Linked DNA regions of Arabidopsis thaliana. The protein of the gene in region 3 interacts with the protein of the main gene of each other region in a pairwise test. Each region holds a gene or a part of one and is shown on either strand. Other genes may lie near its edges.

The links. Proteins that work in one complex are often made in the same cells at the same time.
Region 1: the proteins of ckl4 (region 3) and ACBP4 interact in binary tests that used the Arabidopsis thaliana proteins (3 or more experiments, as listed by UniProt).
Region 2: the proteins of ckl4 (region 3) and MYBR1 interact in binary tests that used the Arabidopsis thaliana proteins (3 or more experiments, as listed by UniProt).

The regions. Positions count from the first base shown.
Region 1 is NC_003074.8:1,558,488-1,567,670, forward strand, and holds ACBP4 (acyl-CoA binding protein 4), read left to right. Parts: upstream 1-3,183; 5' UTR 3,184-3,392; coding exon 3,393-3,551; intron 3,552-4,081; coding exon 4,082-4,152; intron 4,153-4,583; coding exon 4,584-4,647; intron 4,648-4,739; coding exon 4,740-4,811; intron 4,812-4,924; coding exon 4,925-5,119; intron 5,120-5,220; coding exon 5,221-5,298; intron 5,299-5,420; coding exon 5,421-5,531; intron 5,532-5,719; coding exon 5,720-5,786; intron 5,787-5,889; coding exon 5,890-5,951; intron 5,952-6,208; coding exon 6,209-6,348; intron 6,349-6,524; coding exon 6,525-6,651; intron 6,652-6,730; coding exon 6,731-6,845; intron 6,846-6,982; coding exon 6,983-7,071; intron 7,072-7,211; coding exon 7,212-7,295; intron 7,296-7,377; coding exon 7,378-7,560; intron 7,561-7,749; coding exon 7,750-7,896; intron 7,897-8,068; coding exon 8,069-8,128; intron 8,129-8,374; coding exon 8,375-8,560; 3' UTR 8,561-8,849; downstream 8,850-9,183. Other genes in the region: AT3G05410 (Photosystem II reaction center PsbP family protein), read left to right, coding at 2,657-2,969; AT3G05425 (uncharacterized protein), read left to right, coding at 8,987-9,118. UniProt on the Arabidopsis thaliana protein: Binds medium- and long-chain acyl-CoA esters with very high affinity. Can interact in vitro with oleoyl-CoA, barely with palmitoyl-CoA, but not with arachidonyl-CoA. May function as an intracellular carrier of acyl-CoA esters.
Region 2 is NC_003076.8:26,850,984-26,856,506, forward strand, and holds MYBR1 (myb domain protein r1), read left to right. Parts: upstream 1-3,038; 5' UTR 3,039-3,125; coding exon 3,126-4,043; 3' UTR 4,044-4,329; coding exon of another isoform or gene 4,330-4,935; 3' UTR 4,936-5,023; downstream 5,024-5,523. Other genes in the region: CYP81G1 (cytochrome P450, family 81, subfamily G, polypeptide 1), read right to left, coding at 4,330-4,935, 5,024-5,523. UniProt on the Arabidopsis thaliana protein: Transcription factor. Represses the expression of protein phosphatases 2C in response to abscisic acid (ABA). Confers resistance to abiotic stresses dependent of ABA. In response to auxin, activates the transcription of the auxin-responsive gene IAA19.
Region 3 is NC_003075.7:14,243,254-14,251,408, forward strand, and holds ckl4 (casein kinase I-like 4), read left to right. Parts: upstream 1-3,006; 5' UTR 3,007-3,105; coding exon 3,106-3,181; intron 3,182-3,259; coding exon 3,260-3,300; intron 3,301-3,478; coding exon 3,479-3,548; intron 3,549-3,633; coding exon 3,634-3,782; intron 3,783-3,902; coding exon 3,903-4,069; intron 4,070-4,191; coding exon 4,192-4,253; intron 4,254-4,330; coding exon 4,331-4,394; intron 4,395-4,532; coding exon 4,533-4,617; intron 4,618-4,695; coding exon 4,696-4,822; intron 4,823-4,917; coding exon 4,918-4,994; intron 4,995-5,167; coding exon 5,168-5,225; intron 5,226-5,409; coding exon 5,410-5,537; coding exon of another isoform or gene 5,538-5,570; exon of another isoform or gene 5,571-5,803; coding exon 5,804-5,944; 3' UTR 5,945-6,619; downstream 6,620-8,155. Other genes in the region: XTH26 (xyloglucan endotransglucosylase/hydrolase 26), read left to right, coding at 1,083-1,254, 1,380-1,480, 1,603-1,796, 2,117-2,528; AT4G28870 (mutator transposase MUDRA protein), read left to right, coding at 7,168-7,467; ckl3 (casein kinase I-like 3), read left to right, coding at 8,098-8,155.

The DNA.
Region 1 (9,183 bases), on a different chromosome or scaffold from region 3:
CCAACGTTACTCTACACCGCAAATGATCCGAGCACCCTCCTGCTTCAAAAGTGCCATAAGCCGCAGGAAATTTACGATTCCATTCTTCATTAACAAGAACTCTGTCCAACTTTTTATTTATTATCCCCTCTTCTCTCTTGTTTGACCAAGTAAACACCGGACCATGATAGCTCATATCAGCTAGAGAGCAGTCTCTAACGACTTCTTGGAAATCTCGCATACCCTGCGGAATAAAAGGTGAAGTAACAAAATTTGAATGCTCCTCCCCCTCCAGAATTTCATTAAAATCACCAAGAATCATCCAACTTTTGGTACGGAACATTGGCATATTGTAATGATTTCTCAAGTCTTCCCAAAGTTCCCGCCTCTCATCCACATAGTTTGAAGCATAGATAAAAGAAACCAAAAATTCCTCTGCATTCTCTTCAGTCAAAACAGAGCAAGTAATCATTTGTCCACTTTTATAAACCGGAGTGACACGAACCGAACTCTTCCAAATAACCCAAATTCGTCCCAAACGATGGTGTTCATAGTTAGTCATAGAAGACCACCCAGGAAATACCTTAGAAATGATCTTGCTAGCACTAGTTTCATCCACCCTCGTTTCTAATAAACCCCCAAAAGTTAAAGACTCCTTTCTCACCCAATCACGAACAACGGAATGTTTATTTGATTTGTTAAAACCGCGCACATTCCAGAAGAACCCCGACATTTAATGATGTTTTTTGGAGTTTCTTCTGCTCGAATTGCTGGAGACATTGTCTCTAGCTTTTTGAGTAAAAGACTCCGAAAGGACTTTGTGTGAACTCTTGGAGGAGCGAGGAAGATTTACTCTCACCGCTCCTGCTTTCTCTTTATCCGAAGTGGAATTCTTTTCGATCGCTTGAGTAGAGACAACGTCATCAATAGAGTTCGTTCGCTCCGTCTCAATGACTTCCTCTGAGGAGATTGTGGGGAACTCATCTTTATCCCCATTCTCCTCCTGATCACTCAGGACAGAGTACCGAGAAGAGGATAAAATTGTTGCTTGGCCAAAAGTTAATGGTTTCCCATTTGACTTTTCTGTACTTTTGCTTCCTTTACCTGGGGAGACTATGGACCAACCATCTCCTTCCGACTGAGATTCTGGTGGTACCACCTTCTCTGCTACCACTTGTTGTTCAAAAACCTCCTGAGAAATCAAAATCGAGTTCTGAATCCCATCCTCTTTATTCCCACTATTAGCTGACTCATGGTCAGCAACTCTCACTGTGGTAGCAGAAGCAGAAGGATCCGCTAAAACTTCACCTTCTTCTAGCTCACTTTCTATCACCAGCGCTGGAGGCTTGAGCTTACTCACACAAACATCCACTAGGTGACCCCACTTACTACAACAAGTGCATTTGGGAGGCAACCAGGGGTAAATAAACTCCACGATAACATCTTTTTCCTCCTCAATTTTGAACCTGTGACACTTTGGAACGTCTTGCGAAAGATTTACTTCAACAAAAACTTTAGCTTCATCAAACTTTGTGCATAATTCTGTTTCAGGATGTAACCGTATTGGATTTCCTACTGAACTTGTAATAAAACTCAAACCATCCCAGGAGAACATGGAATGAGGAACATTCTTCACTGTGACCCACAACGGCATTGTTTTAATCTCTGGCTGGGCTTCTTCTTTAATCGGAGACCACTTGGCAACAATCATTGGTAAACCAGCAATGTTCCACATCCCTCTTCTGACTATTCTCGAACGCGTGGCGGAGTCACGGATTCGAAACTTTACTGAAGTAGAGTCTATCTCATAGACGTCAATCTTAATTGCTTTGTCCCCAAGAGTCCAGATCTTATTGACTATGACATGGATCTTAGCGACATGCGGAGCTTGTGATGGGAACCGTCCCACCAGAAAATCATCCCAGAGAGGGACAGATTCAGTGATAACTTCTTTCGGAACTGCAATGGTTGGGACACCGTCTTGCACAGAGACTTCATATTCATCTTTTTTCAGAGAAGGCCGTTTAGTAACTACTGCTGCATAGGACTTTTGCTGGACAGATCCAGATGGAGAACCAACTGTTCCTGCCTCAGAAGAGACTGGTAAAACCTGGTCGGACATGAGAAACCGACGGCAAGCCGCCGCTGAAACCCTAGCTTGCTGAAAAAGAATGAAAACCCTAGTCGCCAAGAAAATCGCCCTAGAGCTGACGTGTCATTAAAAAAAAAAAACATCATTCTTATAGTAGAAACATTTGATTGTTCTGTGGTAACTGGTAACGACTAAGTGATATGGTTTACTAGATCTTGCAAACAAATCTAATTGATCATGAGAAAAAATTGTAAGACTAGATCGATTATTTTAGTGGTCTAACAACTAGTTTCAAAGTTGTAATTTTCAAGATTGTTTATTACATTTAGTACATGTTTGAAGTGAAACAATATATCTCAATGTAAGTACATGATTCTCTTTACTACTTTGAATCTATCACAGAAGTTAGTGCAGACACCCGATTCGCTATGATTGTTAAGATCATAAAGTGACCTAGATCGATGAGCATCAATGTTTTTTTTTTTCTTTTGCCAATAAGCATCAATGTTTTCTTGACGAGCAATTGTCATTTTATTTCAAGAAGCGGAATCTGTTTTATGAAAGTGTTTATTGTTTACGATATAGAATCGAAGCGTTTGGAGGGCCAAAAGAAGTAGGAGAGGCAATAGTAAGAACAGTGACAGGATCTGGTCAACGAGCAGATTTGAAAGGAACTTTGCTAGAATCAAGTATCAGACAAGATTCAGAGAGAAACTTGAAGTACTACGAGTTGGAGTTTAAAGTCGAATCACCTCTTTTCCGGCGGCATAATGTAGCCGTTTGTTGCGCTCACAGTGGCCGGCTTTATACACTGAACGCTCAAGCGCCAGAGTCAGCTTGGTCAGAGGTGAAATCGGAAATTTACACTACTGCGAAATCGTTCAATATAATTTCTTGAATGTAAAGGATCGGAAAACAAATTGTAAAAACCCAAAAAGAAACAAGATACTACAAAGCAAAGCTTATTTTTTCTTCATATTGATAGGGTCTCTTTGTTTTTCTTAATTAATTCACACTATTGAGTTGATTACGATGATTAAGGTCAAAAATACGAAGTGACAATAAAAAGAGAAAAGTTTCGAGCATAATCATGTCTTCTTGATCGTGCCGCTCGCTATATAAACACTGCACCAAGCAATTACTATAATTTTTGATCAATTAAATATTAAATTTTGAGAATATGTTTCTATATTAATGAAAATAATTTAAAGTAATCATAAGTTTGTATCTTTGAACAAACGAAACTAGAAAACGCCTATCTCTGCTCATTGGCTTCTCCATCTCCGATCAAATCCGCGGTCGTAGTCAGAGAGAGAGACAAATGGCTATGCCTAGGGCAACCTCTGGTCCCGCTTACCCGGAGAGGTTCTACGCTGCTGCATCTTATGTCGGTCTCGACGGATCTGATTCGTCGGCGAAAAACGTCATCTCGAAATTCCCCGATGATACTGCACTACTTCTCTATGCGCTATACCAGCAGGTCAGCAACTTCCATTTCTGATCTCTTCCATTGTTGATCTCACGATTGTGGATTTTGCTTTTGAATTTCACGAGATCTGGTCGTTTGGGTGTTGATTTCTTTGTTTTAGTCACCGATTCATATTCCTCTCGCCGAATTCTTATCGGATTTTAGAAATGACGCACTTTACTTGTCTGATTAGCTGTGCTTGATCGTTATTTTCGATCCTGGTTAGTATATTCGAAATGCTCAGTAAAATGTTACCCGAGATCTCATCACGATTTGATTGGAAACATGATTGAAACAGTTTTATTTTATTAGATCTCAGGGAGCGTTGGTCCGTCAGTCGTAGTTTACTTGGATCTACATTGATTCTATAACTTGATTAGTATAGTCGTAGATGAATTTCTTACGAGGGGGTGAAACTGGCTGTTCCTTAACATAGAGAGAAACGTTCTCTTGTACTAATTATAATGTCGAGTCTACTAGTTTTTATCCCTGGGATAGATAGGCTCAGTGCTGATGATCTCTTGGATTTAACATTGAAACAGGCTACTGTAGGACCATGCAACACTCCGAAACCTAGTGCCTGGAGACCAGTGGAGCAAAGCAAATGGAAAAGGTTAGATTGGGTGCTGTGTTTTGCCCATACTTATCTACGATTAACATTTATGCATTTATCACTGGTTCTTTTATTTCTATTCTTGCGTTTGTGAATCATACTTGTAGGAATATGCTTCATGGTAGATATTAATAGGAGATGTCTTAGATTTCATCAATTACTAGAGCGTAAGAATCCAAATGCATTAGGGAAACGGGAAAGGAGTACTTTAGTGTAAGCTACTAGAGGAAAATAGAAATGCAGGATTTGAATGTGCATCCCTGGGGAAAAAAACTAAGTGCTTACCTATGTTTTGGACCTTTTGGTCTACATTACTGAGGTTGTTAATGCTTACGATCCTTTTTAAAGGAAAATAAGACTTTAAAGTTGTCCTCGTTCCTTTCCTGAAAGATACACATGCTACTGTTCTGAAGCATTTCATATTTACTTAGTTGGCAGGGGCTCGGAACCATGCCCTCCATTGAGGCAATGCGTCTCTTTGTGAAAATTCTGGAGGTAACCGACAAAGAGGTCTATTTTTTTTTTTTTTTTAAAGACTTAACTGGAGCATAACCTTGCTTTCTTCTCTATTGCTCAATTTTTATCAGGAAGATGATCCTGGTTGGTATTCGAGGGCATCTAATGATATTCCAGATCCTGTTGTAGATGTCCAAATTAATGTAAGTTTTGGTATCCCATGGGATTCGATGTCCAAACCATGGGAACTATTACACATATCTTTTGCTTGATTGAAGAAAATTATTTGAGTTTTTTAGTGCATTCATCTTTGTAGCAGAGAGCAAAAGATGAGCCTGTTGTTGAGAATGGGAGCACATTTAGTGAGACAAAAACAATTTCTACGGAGAATGGACGTTTGGCTGAAACCCAAGATAAAGATGTAGTCTCAGAAGACTCAAATACTGTTTCTGTATATAACCAGTGGACTGCACCCCAAACATCAGGTCAGCGTCCAAAAGCTCGTTACGAGGTAATTTATTTTTTCTCTCTCTTTTGAAGAATAAGTAAAAGGTTATGTCATTCATGTATCTTCTGTATTTTTCTAAGTCTTGTTTATTATATTTTTTTCAGCATGGCGCAGCAGTTATTCAAGATAAGATGTATATATATGGTGGAAATCACAATGGCCGTTACCTTGGTGATCTTCATGTAAGCAACCTCTATGGTTTATAAGCATAAGCTCCTAATGTAATTGAGATATTCAGCTCCTAGCTTGACAATACCAGTCCCGGTGACAGTTCCTAAGCAAAGCTTCTGTGGAATGTATACAGGTTCTAGATTTAAAAAGTTGGACTTGGTCAAGAGTTGAAACCAAGGTTGCAACAGAATCTCAGGAAACATCAACTCCGACATTGTTAGCTCCTTGTGCTGGTCATTCTTTGGTAAGTTTATTAACTTTTTCGTTTTGTTTTTGTTATTATCGTTTTGCTTTCCTGCCCAGAAATATTCAGGAGAGGGGTTTCAGCTAAAGCAAAGTATTCTCTTCATGAAAGTCACTTGCTATATTAGTTTGTAATAAAGAAGACTCTAGCTATACATTATTCACTTACCTTCTTTGCTTGTTTTGTAGATAGCATGGGACAACAAGCTGCTGTCTATCGGTGGTCACACAAAGGATCCCTCAGAATCTATGCAAGGTTAGCGTTTATATACCTTTGAAGACGATAATTTGCACATATTTATAAGATTTTTCTGGAATCTCAATGATTACATATCACTTTCTACTGTTTCCTGTCACAGTGAAGGTCTTTGATCCCCATACCATTACATGGTCAATGTTAAAGACATATGGAAAACCACCGGTATATCTTCACTTCTCTCATGTTGTCTCATTTGCTTTCCTGTCACCTTTGTATGAAAATATTACAGTTTTATACAAAAAAAAATTTGGCCGTCAAAAGACAAAAAAATAAAAGTTGTTTTCTTTCCTTACCCTCCCATAATATCTTCAGGGTTAAGGTGCATCTAAATCCAGAATTTCTCCTTGCTAATTTGGAAGTCAAATATGCATTTTGGTTACTTAAATTTAGACTTTCTTATAATTATCTCTTGCTTTTAGGTTTCACGTGGAGGCCAGTCAGTTACAATGGTGGGTAAAACCTTGGTGATATTTGGCGGGCAAGATGCAAAGAGATCACTTCTGAACGATTTGCATATACTTGACCTAGACACGATGACCTGGGATGAGATAGATGCCGTGTAAGATTTTATGATGTTTCTGCATTTTGTTCTCTTTCGAAGAAGTCAAACCCATTTAAGATTAGATATATAACCAGAATATGAATATGTTAGAAATCGACCTCCTATCTCCTTTAGTATCTTAGTCGTTATTGAAAGATTAGCAATTCAGGATTTAAATTGGTGTCAAATTGCAGGGGTGTATCTCCATCTCCGAGGTCTGATCATGCTGCTGCAGTGCATGCAGAACGGTTCCTTCTTATCTTTGGTGGCGGCTCACATGCAACCTGTTTCGATGACCTGCATGTCCTTGATTTGCAAACTGTAAGTTAAGCTAAGAGTCTATTCTTTCAGCTGCTCTCAAACATGCTTTGTCAGCCTCTGATATAATTGTCACATATAGATGGAGTGGTCAAGACCAGCACAGCAAGGTGATGCACCAACTCCAAGAGCTGGACATGCTGGCGTGACAATTGGGGAGAACTGGTTTATTGTTGGTGGCGGTGATAACAAGAGTGGTATGTTAATGCACTTTTCCCTTGGAAATTTTCTCTTCCCAACCGTTCTGTTTATCACCCCCTAGAACAAAAGATATTTGCTTGGGTTTTTTTTTTTGTGTGTGTGGGGTGACTAATTTTGTGACAAATTACTGCAGGGGCATCGGAGAGTGTTGTACTAAACATGTCAACTCTTGCATGGTCGGTCGTTGCTTCAGTTCAAGGACGTGTACCTCTTGCTAGCGAGGTACTTAAATAAACAGACTTTATCCATATTAATTCCCAGATAGCTATACAAATAAACACGGTAGAAGCCTTTTCAAGACTTCGAAAAAAGTCAAGTCATGCTTATTTCATTTCCATCGTCCTTTCCTTTGCTACTGACAGGGATTAAGTTTAGTGGTGAGTTCATACAATGGTGAAGATGTACTAGTCGCTTTTGGTGGATACAATGGACGTTACAATAACGAAGTAGGGACTGTGATCTGAACCCATAAGTTCATTTCTCTTAATTTTTCATTTAGTTCTGCTTCTAATTCTTATCTGGCATTAGATTAATCTTCTTAAACCAAGCCACAAATCAACATTGCAAACAAAGACTCTGGAAGCGCCTTTGCCAGGTAGTCTTTCTGCTGTTAATAATGCCACAACCAGAGACATTGAGTCTGAGGTTGAGGTGAGCCAAGAAGGCAGGGTACGGGAAATTGTCATGGACAATGTTAACCCTGGATCAAAGGTATCTTCTTGTCAAATTTCCCTCCTTAATATATTTTGCATAGCACCACCTTTTGATTTGTTTGAGAGAATTGAAGCATCTTATGCATATATGCTGTGGTAGTGATTGTGTCGACACAGAATATAGTTACTCCAGTCCGGATCATCACCTTCTCGCACTCTTATTATGTTTTGGGTGATTAATCCCCAGGTTGAAGGAAACAGCGAACGCATTATTGCGACTATTAAATCTGAGAAGGAAGAGCTGGAGGCATCACTGAACAAAGAGAGGATGCAGACTCTCCAACTAAGGCAAGAGTTAGGAGAAGCAGAATTACGAAACACAGATTTGTACAAGGTACTAATATTATCACCTTCTTAAAACAGAAGCCGACATGAATAAATTGGTGAACCAATCGTTCATAAAGACTGGTTGCAGCAGTCTTCCAATTGCATTCACATTTAACATCTGAAATCTCGGAATTTTTCCTCGAATATGATATACCTAACTTTGTACTGACATTTTGTAGGAACTTCAATCTGTTCGTGGCCAACTTGCAGCCGAACAATCAAGGTGTTTCAAACTGGAGGTACTAAACCGTAGCCACATCTCTTTTGTACCATAACCTACAGAATTTGGAATCTCGTGAAACCCGTGATTTAATGACTACATATACTCATATTCCAGGATGAATAGGAATCTTGATTAGAACATTCATCCATTGTAACCACTGGATCTATCACATATCTTCTCTGTCATTTATTGATAAGCTTCATCACGTCATAAGAACAAAAACAAAGCAAATCTAATTGGGTCACTTTCTCCGAATCTGCAGGTTGATGTTGCAGAGCTAAGACAAAAGCTTCAAACATTGGAAACACTACAGAAGGAACTCGAACTCCTGCAACGTCAAAAGGCTGCCTCAGAACAAGCTGCAATGAACGCTAAACGACAGGGCTCGGGTGGCGTATGGGGCTGGCTCGCTGGAAGCCCTCAGGAAAAAGATGATGATTCGCCTTGATCATTTTTGGTCCGGTAATGCCATTTTCCTCCGGACGATATTTGCTTTCAGTAAAGAAATATATATAGTTTTTTTTGTCTGAGTCTCTCGCATTGTTTCTTCTTCCAATAAGATATTTTTTTAGCGAGCTTTGATTACTACCGATGTTTAGCTTTGTTCTCTGTTATACAAGTGATTCACCAGAATATTCGTTAACTTTTTTGAAATATTTGTTTTGGGAGTGTCTGACAAAATTATGAAAACTAAATCAGTTTACGATCAGCAATCATAATTTTCTTATATTTACGAGTCTCTTACTCTCTTCACTCTTTAGTCTTCGTTTGCATTAAAAATTAAATTAAATTTACCTCACTTCGTAAGTGGACAAAAAATCACGTTTTAGGCAGCAAAATAAAATAAAATAAAAAGATCACGTTTTTTTGTCCCATGACGTGGCAACCTATTACTGGATGGGAAGTTCGACCGTTCACCATCACCATTTATGACGCTGAGAAGTTACCAAAATGTCCTTCTCACCAAGTGATGCTTTTGTCATCTTCTCCAGCTTTACTCTCATGAAATTTCTTAAATTTTCTCTTCCAGCAAACAATCTCAGGATTTAAACAAAGTTACGCATCTTCTGG
Region 2 (5,523 bases), on a different chromosome or scaffold from region 3:
AGTTGACGATAAATTTCAGATTTGAAGACGAAATAAAGCAAATCTTTAAATAAGTTTTTTTGGAAATATCATATGATATCAGAATTCTAAAAAATCCAACAAATCGGTAAGTTCTAACATATAAGATGAAATAGTACTTGGTAGGTACAAAAATTAAACGTTTTGATTCCACACATACAAAAAGAAGAAGAAAAGAGTAACTTTTTATTTGTCGTCCAACAAAGAATCGCTTTTCAATCAAGCTTTAGTGAAGGTGTTAGGTGTGTGTGGCTTAAGCATATACATCAGAAGACCAACAAAATTTATCTTAAGCACGAAGGTCACCGAACGTAGTCGTTTCAACGATGACCGTACCATTAATGCAGATTTGTAGTGCGTGTGGATATATACATGCACACGTGTGGAAGGTGAAGGTACAAAATGTGCATACGGCTTAAGGATAAGCGAGAACACGGAAGGATATTTTGTAGCAGCATCTTTCTATTCTATGCAACTAAGTAAACGAACCACATGCACCTGTTTTCTTTAATTTATTGCCTTTGTGATTTTTTTTGTTGACACCATTATGTTTTTTTTTTGTTTGTAAACCATATAATTAAGTAGTTTCCCTAAACCGTTAACAATTAATACATTCTATAATGTCGAATAAAAAGAAAAGGTAATGCAAGTGGAAGAATATCTAAACACGTTAGTAGACCAATAGCAAAATTACAGTTGCTAGCTTACACGACAGGAGGAACAAGACAAGAGTAGTTTTGCCTTTGTTAAGAATAATTAGCATGACACGTCACTCAAACTTACACGTGGAAGGATAATTCATGGACACGTGGACATACTGGAAAACAGCTGTTAAATCTTTGTCCGGTTATCGTAAGTTTTTGAATTTTAAAACTGTATTTAGCCGAATTAGGTCATGTTCCACGTGCCTTTTTTTCTGCACCACTATCTCTTTTCCACAAGAGGGGCAATGATTTTTTGGTCCAAAAATATACAGTTGTAATCTTGGACGGTGTGTCTTAAATAAAATAATATATGGACGGTGTTTTCTTTAATGTTTTCTATGTTCATATGAACTTCTCGGTGGTCGTTTCAATCACAAAATTTATCATACCAGAAAACAAAATATTTTCAATAATTGAGGCTGTACGTTGTGTATTTTAGGTTTTTTCTTTAGATTGTTGCATGTTATATTTTCAGTTTACTATATGTTGTGATGATTATTCGTTACAAATGTTTTCAAAATGTCATACTATAGTAGTCATTTATAATAGATATGAAAAATGATCACAGTTGATTTGTTTTTTTGGTGGACTACGAATAAAATCGTTTTGGTAATTGTCTAATCTTCGAGTGAGTAAGACACCGTCAATCAACCATCAATATCATCAATCAAAACCATTATTGATCTATTTTTTGGTTTAAGGAAAAGTTGGTAATTGTAAAACGACTTCAATAAAATATTTAAAACAAGGAGACCAAAACCGACACTCGGACCATTGATAATAGAAACAACGAGCAAGGTTATAGTAGTATAGTTGAGTCTCACAAACGAACACGTAAACCCAATATAATAACTACGCAAGGTTACATCTAGAGCTTATTGTTCCCATCACAATAACCTCTTGGCATTATTAATTATCAAATTCACTCAAAGTATTAAACTCCTGATGTCTAATAGATTATCAACAAATCGACAAAAATGTAGATATATAACTCAAAAGGTATAAATTCAAATGTTTGGTGGGGTTACGTAAAAACTTGAATTATTAAGAACTAACAATACTATAGTTTAATTAAAAGGAGAATTATGAACCGTTAGAGGGAAGGTTAGGGAGCGTGCATGAACATTACCTGACGTTTACCGACCTGATTCGTACCGTACATACCAGAACAAAGAGCTTTTAAAAACCCGCGTTTTACGACCGACACGTGGCAGTTCTTAAATGGATGACAGTTAGTGTTTTATTAATTGTTTTTGTTTGATTAACAAGTTTTATACAGCCTGGCTGTTTCTATTCGTATTTTCGATATAATAATTAAATATATTTCAGGAAACAAAGGCAGTGATGATTTTGCGTTCCAATTCGGCAACCTATGTTGTCGTTTTCTGCCACGTCAAAACCTCCTATCTTTTGTTAACCGCACATTTTACATCACGTTTCCTAAACCGAACATTAATATCTAACCATTTTTATACATTCACTTAATATCGCTCACACGGTTCTTTGTCAATCCCATTTTAATCCAGCTTCGTTTCAAATTATTGAGGTTTAGATCTTTTTATGATCATAGAGCAACTATATATAGATTTAGTATTGTCAATTTGTCATGCACTGTTATATGCATGAATTAGGTGTTTGTGTGTTGTTTAGTAATTAATTATACCTTCTTAGTGACAATTTGTTTTCTTTATTAGTAATGAAATTTGTGGTCAATAATTTTGATTAGTTTTCAACCCGGAAAATCGGTTATATGTAAAGTAGATATTATCATAAAGTTTTTATGTGAAGTGCTATACAGCCTGGCTTCGCTATTCTAAAGTCAAGACTAAACATAAAAATAAATAAAAACTGTCCTTACCCAAACCTAACCGTTATCATCTTTTTATTTTTTTCTTCAGATATTTCTTTTTCATTTTTATTTCCCCTATAAAAAAATTTAAATTCACCTCAAATTGTGCGAATATTATCATGGCTTTGCTAGTTGGGTTTCGTGATTTTGTCTCTTTAACTTCTTACTTTCGCCACGCGCTTAAATGGCGCGTGTACTCACAAACTCATACTTTGAGACTCGACTGATCTCCACGCTCAACTATACGAAATTGCTGATCTTGAACAAAATTATTACGAAAACGACAAAAAAGACACATCGACGTAGTCAGGCTTCGACGCGTGTCCACTTACAGCTGTACCGCAAACTTTGAAAAACCGCTTGCGTGGAAGAAGCGTTGCCCATGACTTCTCCACCGTCTTAACCGGTTTCCGGTTATCCTCCTCTCTTAAATCTCTGTATAAATAATTTTGTCCTCTCTTTAGTTTCTCGAACTTGTTTTTGGTTCATCTCTCAAAACCAAAATCACTAAAGAGGAGAAGATTGCTAAAGTTTGATAAAACATTCCAAAATCAATGGCTGATAGGATCAAAGGTCCATGGAGTCCTGAAGAAGACGAGCAGCTTCGTAGGCTTGTTGTTAAATACGGTCCAAGAAACTGGACAGTGATTAGCAAATCTATTCCCGGTAGATCGGGGAAATCGTGTCGTTTACGGTGGTGCAACCAGCTTTCGCCGCAAGTTGAGCATCGGCCGTTTTCGGCTGAGGAAGACGAGACGATCGCACGTGCTCACGCTCAGTTCGGTAATAAATGGGCGACGATTGCTCGTCTTCTCAACGGTCGTACGGACAACGCCGTGAAGAATCACTGGAACTCGACGCTCAAGAGGAAATGCGGCGGTTACGACCATCGGGGTTACGATGGTTCGGAGGATCATCGGCCGGTTAAGAGATCGGTGAGTGCGGGATCTCCACCTGTTGTTACTGGGCTTTACATGAGCCCAGGAAGCCCAACTGGATCTGATGTCAGTGATTCAAGTACTATCCCGATATTACCTTCCGTTGAGCTTTTCAAGCCTGTGCCTAGACCTGGTGCTGTTGTGCTACCGCTTCCTATCGAAACGTCGTCTTCTTCCGATGATCCACCGACTTCGTTAAGCTTGTCACTTCCTGGTGCCGACGTAAGCGAGGAGTCAAACCGTAGCCACGAGTCAACGAATATCAACAACACCACTTCGAGCCGCCACAACCACAACAATACGGTGTCGTTTATGCCGTTTAGTGGTGGGTTTAGAGGTGCGATTGAGGAAATGGGGAAGTCTTTTCCCGGTAACGGAGGCGAGTTTATGGCGGTGGTGCAAGAGATGATTAAGGCGGAAGTGAGGAGTTACATGACGGAGATGCAACGGAACAATGGTGGCGGATTCGTCGGAGGATTCATTGATAATGGCATGATTCCGATGAGTCAAATTGGAGTTGGGAGAATCGAGTAGACAAAGTGAGATTATTAGGAAACTGTTTAAATTGGAGAAGAAGAAAAATGCTCTGTTTTTTTCTCCTTTGGATTAGGCTTAAGAATTTTGGGTTTTAAGGAAATGTATAGAGGAAATCGAGTGAACAAAGCTCGAGAGCTGGGGACGTAGTGACGAAGACGAAGATCAAATTTCTCTTAAGCTATTCAGGAAAATAAAATAAATTTTTATTTATAACTACGCTTAATGATGATAATAGATCAAATTAATACACAAAGTATCACAAAGTGAAAGATAAATGATCCAGTTAAAGAACAAGTTTGTCGAGGATTGGTAAAGACTTGCATTTGGCAACTAAAGGCACAGATTTGGGCATGGTAAGACCCTTTCCTTCCGACATGTCAACGGCAACGTCATTGTCTCTCTCCCAATCGAAACACTGGATCAATGAGCCTAAAGCTAAGCTCAGTACTAGTTGGGCCAGGCCCATACCAGGACATGCTCTCCTACCGATTCCGAAAGGCAGAAACTTACCACGATGGGTCTCTGATTCAAACCTCTCTGGTTTGAAAGTTTCTGGGTCATCCCATACATTTGGGTCTCTCTGAATAGCCCACGCATTGATAAATAGCCAGGTGCGACGTGGAATGTCAAATCCAGCGACTTCACAGTCAGTGGATGAAGCGTGTGGGACAAGTAAGGGCGCCGCCGGAAACAAACGAAGAGTCTCAGAGATCACATTGTTGAGATAGGGACACTTGCCAGTATCTGATTCCTCAAACACACGCCCTTCTTTCGAAACCTCGTTTAGTTCCGTTTTGAGTTTCCTTAAAACTTCCGGATGATTTAGAAGGTTAGCCATAGCCCACTCCAACGTCACTGCGGTTGTGTCCGTTCCAGCAAGCAACATCACCTGCAATGAATCCTTTGAATCTTTGATGAATCAATCTTGATCACTCCTATTAACGATTCAAAATTATAGGAATTAAAAACTCATGTACCTGTACGAGCCCTTTGATGATATCATCAGTGTAACATTCAGGTTCTGATTCTTGAAGAGACAGCAAACGAGTGATCATCGTTTTCTCAAGCTCTGCTTTTCCTCTGTTTTTCCGATGCTCGTCGACTAATTTCTGCATAAACTTGTCCAATTTCGAAGCGAGTTTCTTTGCTCTCTTTCTGTATCCATCAAGATCAAAGAGCTTCAGAGTCGGGAGAAAATCTCCGACATAATTAACACCAGCGAAATCGAACACCTCCCTAATCAGCTTCCGAACTTCCTTAGTTTCCTCGTCTTCCTCTCGTTTTCCAGCGACCATGCTCATTAGGATGTTATACGTAAGCCCATAAAGAAACGGCTGGAGTTTCAATCTGACACTGCCTCCTGATGTTACCAGTTCCACGTTGATCTTCCGAATCATAGCTCTCACTTCGTCTCTCCGTATATCCGAAAAGTCTCTGAGACGAGCGGTGGACAAGATATCTACGGCGCAGAAACGGC
Region 3 (8,155 bases):
CTAATTATCACAAGGAATGAAAATGAAACTAAAGGTTTTGAATATATAATTATGATTTCTTAACAAGATTAACAAAAACGCGATCAACATGACCTTTTACTCATTATCAAACTTTTTCTCGTACAATGTTTGTCTATTTACCATTGATCCAGATTTATTGTGAATATAATATACAAGAATATTTCAACACCCACCGAAAGTTATTCTTGACTGATCACTGGATTTCCTTGCTTAAATCATTAAATAAAAAAACCTTAAAACACGTTTTAATGATGTCTTGCACTTTTAGAACGAACTTTATAAACTAATCTAAATGGAGAATCGTTGTTTACAATGTTTCACCACTTCATGAGTGTCCAATCTCTGTTATGTGAACGAAAACAAACCAAATTAAATATAATCTATCTAAAAGTAAAACCAAAATGTATCAAAATTTATTTTTTGGTTAAGCATGATTTATTAAATTTTTTTCATGAAATCCTAAAACAATGTAACGGATTTTTTTTATCTAAGCCCTATGCAGTATGCAACGAGACGAAAATACCTGATTAAAAATATGGAAATCGTAAGGAACAATAGAGTAATAAAACAGATTGATGACAAACGAAGTTACTATTGGTAAAATTTCTGATTTGGAAGAGGAGAAGTTGACAAGTTCATCGACCCCATTTATTTGTGGAGTCTTCCCCACGTATATTCCTCGGCCTCTACCACAACCGCGTGAGCCAGCTAACAGTGTCCATCTTCTTATATTTTAGTTTTTTTTTTTTTTTCTATCTAATATTTATTTATCAAACACATGTTGGTGATTGGAAACTAAGAAACATACATATTCATAGTACCTTTCCAGGATAGCATTTTCTTTATATTAAAGAAGTTAGTTCTTTAATTGTTATGTTGTCTAATTCATGCATACAAAGTTCATTAGATGCACGTCAATTGTCAAAACTCTATACTTTTTGGACTACGTCAAAATTTCGATTTCTTAGAAGTTATATATAAAGAAAGCCTTACTGACAAACAAATGGTGATCGAATAGAGTTCCAATCCAAAACATTCCAAACACAAATCAAATTCGTAAGATGGCGGGTCTTCAAGCGAAGACGTTAATGTTCGTTCTGGCAGCTGCCTTAGCGACTCTTGGTCGCACATTTGTGGAGGCAGACTTCAGTAAGAATTTTATTGTTACATGGGGTAAAGATCACATGTTCATGAATGGTACCAACCTTCGACTTGTCCTAGACAAATCTGCAGGTATATAGTAATCTTATAACACAATAACTTTAAAATCAGTCCATTTAATTTTAGTCTATTATTTCATGAGAAACTTGATAGATAAACATGTATAACTGTTTTTATGTTTTTGTTTGTTTTTGCAGGATCTGCTATTAAATCAAAGGTGGCTCATTTGTTTGGAAGCGTAGAAATGCTCATCAAACTTGTGCCAGGGAATTCTGCTGGAACCGTTGCAGCCTATTACGTAAAATTTTCTTTTGAACTCGATCGATAGAATTACAAAAAAAATAAAAAAAAATAGAATCAATACGCAATTCTTTTATATATAGAAAAATTAGATTAATGTTTTCAGATTTTTCTTTGTAGTTATCGTCTACGGGAAGTACACACGATGAGATAGACTTCGAGTTCCTAGGAAATGCGACTGGTCAGCCGTACACGATCCACACCAACTTATATGCTCAAGGGAAAGGAAACCGCGAACAACAATTCCGGCCATGGTTCAACCCGACCAATGGTTTCCACAACTATACCATCCATTGGAACCCATCCGAAGTTGTGTAAGTAATTAACTTATGGCTATGGCGGTTTCTTAAGTACTTTATAAAAACTCCAAACAAATGCTAAGAAATGGTACTTTCTATCAATGAAATACCACATCAAAAAAACTTAAGTAAGATTAAATGTTACTTAGATAGTTTAGTTTGTTACTGTAAAACAACATTAAAGTACAAACACTTCATGATGAATTTTTCTTTTAGTTCCTTAATGTTTTCGAACCTTCAAACCAAAAAAACTTTAGGAATCTCAAACGATTATATGTTTTTATTTCCTTTCTATAAATAAACGTGTCGCACACCATGTTGTATATCTTATATAGGTGGTTCGTCGATGGAACTCCGATCAGAGTTTTTAGAAACTACGAAAGTGAAGGAATCGCATACCCGAACAAGCAAGGTATGAAAGTGTTTGCGAGTCTATGGAACGCAGAAGACTGGGCAACACAAGGAGGTCGAGTGAAGACTAACTGGACGCTAGCACCATTTGTGGCCGAGGGTCGTAGGTACAAGGCAAGAGCTTGTTTGTGGAAGGGATCAGTCAGCATCAAGCAATGTGTAGATCCAACTATACGGTCTAATTGGTGGACATCACCATCATTTAGTCAGCTCACTGCTTCGCAGCTGACGAAGATGCAAAAGATAAGAGATGGTTTCATGATCTATGATTATTGCAAGGACACTAACAGATTTAAAGGTGTTATGCCTCCGGAATGCTCGAAGAAGCAATTCTAATTCAAGTTTCCGGCCAGCGGGCGGAACGAGGAGAGGCTCCGGCAATCATAGCACCGCGGTCGAGGTTAATGGGGACGGACTGTAAATTCGTTTTTCATTATTTTTTTTAATAATTTATTTTTCTGAATTGTTTTTGTGAGGATTTTTGTGTGTCTTTGATTCATTGATAACTCGAATGAGCAATCATGATGAAGAAGAAGAAGTTTTTTTTTTTCCATTTTTTCTTTGTTAAAATCCTATACAAAAAAAAACAAATTCAAAAGCTAAAACCCTAGTAAAAAGAGACAAAATCCAATACAAAATTATCCCCAAAATTATCCATATTTAGACACATTGCGTTGACTTTAGAACTAGTGGATTAGAAACTCCACCGGTCCTACGTGGCAACTAAATTTCAGTCCACGTCACCGACACACAAATTTTCTTAGCCTTACTATACCATACAATTTACGTTAATGCCCCTATTGTCTCATCTATTCGCAAATTTCAACTCTCAAATTCAACGAAGTAAAAAAGCCCTAAATTGATATCTCTATCCCTTGCGCATGATCCAGATTCGGTTGTGATCGGAGCTGCCATGGAACGTATCATCGGCGGCAAGTACAAGCTCGGACGGAAGATTGGCGGTGGTTCCTTTGGAGAGATTTTCCTAGGTGTGTTCTCGTTGATTCTCGAGTTTTGTTCTTCTTCTTTGGTTTGAAATTGACGTACCTTGTTTGTTGATTTCGCAGCTACGCACATCGATACCTTCGAGATTGTAGCTGTTAAGATCGTAAGTTTCAATTGAATCAGCTATTAAACGAATCTACTCTGGGAATTTTGTATCATGTTCATTGTTTCGTGTGGTTCTTTGAATTGATTAACTCTAAATTTATCAGTCAAGCTCCTTGAAATGGTACTTTTTAGCTGACAATTTGTCTTTAACTCAGATCATTTGGATTGTTTTGCAGGAGAACAGTAAAACAAAACATCCTCAGCTTCTCTATGAAGCTAAGCTATATAGAACTCTTGAAGGAGGAAGTATGTTTCTCATTCCTATCTTTTCCCATTCTGTCGTTGTTGGTCATTGGAGGGATTGATTATCAGTACAATGCTCATTTTGCAGGTGGAATTCCGCGCATAAGATGGTTTGGAGTTGATGGAACAGAGAATGCTTTAGTGATGGATTTGCTCGGTCCAAGTCTCGAAGATCTTTTCGTCTACTGTGGGAGAAAATTTTCACCAAAGACGGTCTTGATGTTGGCTGATCAAATGGTATGGCATGAGTTTTAATCACATTTATTGCGTCTGGTTCTGTTTAAATACTAATCATTTCTCTTGAGTTATACATTTATCATCTAATGTGCTTATGATTTTCTTATTCCGATTTTACAGCTAACTAGAATAGAATATGTACATTCCAAAGGATATCTGCATAGAGATATAAAACCAGATAACTTTCTCATGGGCCTAGGCCGCAAAGCGAATCAGGTTTATCTAATTGACTTTGGACTGGCCAAAAGATATCGTGATGCCAACACCAACCGCCACATCCCTTATAGGTATTTGTGGCCATGGTTCATTATATTGTGTCTACCATCTGGAGGTGGTAAATTATCTTATCTGTTATAAGTTTTTAAGGTCACATTATACAACTTATTACCTTTTATTTGGTTGTATTCAGGGAAAACAAGAATTTAACAGGAACTGCACGATATGCAAGTTGCAATACACATCTTGGTATTGGTAAGGAATGCTGCCACTTTTTTCTCCCCTTTGTGAAGTAAAGTTTTTGCTCACATATTTCGATTTCTCTTTCGCAGAGCAAGGTAGACGGGATGACCTAGAGTCTCTTGGATATGTGCTTCTGTACTTCTTAAGAGGAAGGTGTGTTGACTTTTTGACTTGAAAGAACCTAGTTAACATTGTGTTTTTGGCAGGGTATTGTTTTTCCTTGTTTGAGATTTACTTAACCGTTTTCTTGCTTTACATTTTGTTCCTATTTTAATGAACCTCCTTTTCTAGCCTTCCATGGCAGGGTCTTAAGGCTGTTGACAAGAAGCAAAAGTATGACAAAATTTGTGAGAAGAAGATATCAACTCCTATTGAGGTCTATTTCCCTCTACTGTGTGAGTGAATTGTTTTTTGTTAATCCTCATTCAACTGAATAATATCCCATCCTTTGTAGGTTCTATGCAAAAGCCACCCCGTGGAGTTTGCTTCATATTTTCATTATTGCCACACACTGACATTTGATCAACGCCCTGATTATGGATTCTTGAAGCGGCTTTTTCGTGATTTATTCTCACGGGAAGGTACTTTGAGAAAGACATCCCTCCATCATTTTTATAATCCTCTCTGCTAGCATCAGTTATCTACCTAGCTCACTTAAACGTTTTCTTCTTTGCAGGATATGAGTTTGACTATATATATGACTGGACTATTATAAAGTATCAGCAATCACAGAAAACTAGAAGTCAGTCTCAGGTATAGTTTATCAATACCATTTGTTATTTTTTTTTCTCCAGGTGTATGCATATTTTGTCTTGTTCATAGAGAAGATTTCCTGGGGAGAAGTTTTACTTGGTTTTGCTATTTTTTAGTTTTGGTGCTAAATATAGATATGCCTGTCTTCCTAACAATAAACTGTCATGCTGCAGGCCGTTCCTGGGTCTAGTAATGCTCGTGCAATACCAATGGACACAAGCAATCATCGAGGTCAGCTCGAGTTATAAATTTTAATTGTGTCACTTTCTGATTAATTTTGTAATAGTATATGATGTGTTTTTTGTTTTCTCTCGACTTTCACACTGGACTCAACTGGCATAGAGTGTTTGGCTGATTTAGTTTCCCGTTGCAACTGTTTATTTCAATATCTTGATGCTAACTCTCCGTTTGGCAGGAGGAACTAAGATTTCACATGAAGCCCAAGTCTCTGACCGTGTCAGACCGGCTAATGCCAGTGGTCCAAGCCCACAGATTAATACCGCTGTAGGGAGGAGTCTGGGTTTTGATCAAGTCCACAAGAATGTACGTGCTTATTCATTTGCCTCTTCCAAATAAATGTTGTATCCTGCAACCCTCCCCCTTGTGTTAGCATCTCATGCCTGCATCTGTGTTGCTTCAGAGTTCTGCATGGTTCTCTGCTTAAAGCTTTTACCTGTTTTGCATGGTCAATTGTCATCAACGAGCTCTATATTGTGATATGAACTACATATAGCATAAATGATTAAAACACGATACTGATCATCACGAAATATGCTCTTGACCATTATTTTACTGAAAACCCATTGCAGATGAACATGCCATCATCCACTTCATTATCTCCTGCGGGTACCTCAAAAAGAAATGTCAGACCCGAAACCTCAAATTCTGGGTTTGGGAGCGGGAATAAAACCGGCGGTTGGACTTCACCATTCATGTCACCGGGGAAATGATGCAAAAAAAGTTGGAGTATATCATTCATCTGATCTGCTGAGCAAGATTATGTGTGCCTTTGGGTCTAAACTGTGATTTCTGCAGTGAAAAGCTCTAGACTGAGGTTGAAGATCTGAATGGAGTTTTTCCATGAACAGCTTACTGTTTGACAAAAGGCATGAAGATTATGTTTGCTTTCCTTCAAGATTCTCACAAATGACTGACTTCAACCTTTGTATAAAATCTTGCAACCGGGCGTGTAATTTGGTTCTTGTGATTCATTCTCCCAAGTTTTCTTCTATAAAACTTTGTTCGTATTTCTGTACGTAGTTCCCTGTGTTGGGGCATAACCTGGGTTTGCTGTGTCATCAACATTGTTTGCAGAAAATCAAGAGCAAAGCATGAGCAGCTTCAGCAGAGATGCCTTCAAAGGCTTGAGTCAAGAGTTGCTTGTGGCAGGGACATGTCACCATCAAGCTAATGTGCAGCTGACGAGAACGTAAAAGGATAAGCTATGGCTAGCTTCTGGAATGCTCCGAGAAACACTTCCCCCTTTTTTTTTCTCTGAATTTCCTATTCAGTTTAATGGTATTCTGTGTTTGATTTTTCTTACTCGATTTTGTGCATTGAAAAAAATTATATCAAAAAGCTTGACTTGATCCAAACATGCATTTTCAATTGCTATTATTAAAAAAAAAAAACGTATAAAATTGTAGTCTCAATATTGAAATACAAACACCTAGAATTGATCGATTTGGTAGAGAACTAGTTAGTGGATTAAATTTGGGTTGGCTGATTTTCGAGCCATAAACTATTTCGATTCTCAGCTTTCACACCCGGACTTTTGGGCCTTTAAATTTCCACCATCAACTTTCATATTCCCAAAATTACATCATCTATTTTTGGATTCATGCTTAAACATACATTTCCAATTGAACCATTCATTTAACCGGGATTAACCACAAATCCGCGTTTACTGTACCGCGATTGCGATTAACCCAACTAATACCCAGACCCGTTAAGAAAACGACGTCGTTTTCATTTCGTTTAACTCATCAAAAAGAGAAAGAAAACGACGTCGTTTTCATTCTTCTTCTTTAACTCTCAAATCGATTTAGTCGTTCTTCTTTAATCTCGACACTGTGAAATTAGGGTTCTTGAGAGAGAAAGACAAAAGGGGATTTGGGGTTTTCTTCTTCGGTTCGAATTTTTGGGTCTCGATTTGGGTTTCGAATAGGGAGAAATGAAGAATTGGTGGGAGGAAAGATTGATTTACCAAAGCGATCCAGATGACCCCGATTTCGAACCTCCAGAGAGTGACATTGAAGCCGACGATGGAAGTGATAGTGGTGATAGCGGAGTCGAGGAGGACGAAGCCACCAGAATCGAGGGAGAGGACGTCGGGATAGATGGAGACAGAGCTTCTGATGGAGAGGAAAATAGAGAAGACGATGGTGACATAGCGTCTGATGGAGACGTCAATCTAGAAGACGATGGAGACAGAGATGAAAGTCAAAAGAAGAGGACTACCAAATCGATTTGAGAGTTAAAGAAGAAGAATGAAAACGACGTCGTTTTCTTAACGGGTCTGGGTATTAGTCGGGTTAATCACAATCGCGGTACAGTAAACGCGGATTTGTGGTTAATCCCGGTTAAATGAATGGTTCAATTGAAAATGTATGTTTAATCATGAATTCGAAAGTAGATGATGTAATTTTGAGGAATATGAAAATTGATGGTGGAAATTTAAGGGCCCAAAAATCCGGGAGTGAAAACTAAGAATCGAAATAGTTTATGACTCGAAAATCAGCCAACCCATTAAATTTTCGAACCTTCATCATTTTGCAGACCCCAAAAACGGAAATCATCAAATCATCCACCGTGCCAGCGTGACATTACAAAATCACGTAAATACCCTCGTGTTTGTTTATAAGGTAAAAAAAGATTGGCGGACCCAAAATGGTGCAGTAGTTAGGTGTACAAATTTTTTTTTGAAGGATCACTACTACGGCTCAAACAAGCCTGGGTCCATGTCACTACCACCGATGTCAGTCAAACAAAAATAATAATATATGTTTTTAAGTTCCTCTAATTTCAATCTTCTAAACAACAACCCTAAATCCTTATCTCTATCCTTGCGCTTGATCCAGATTCGGTTCTGATTGGAGCTGCCATGGAACGCATCATCGGCGGCAAGTACAAGCTCGGACGGAAGATCGGCGGTGGTTCGT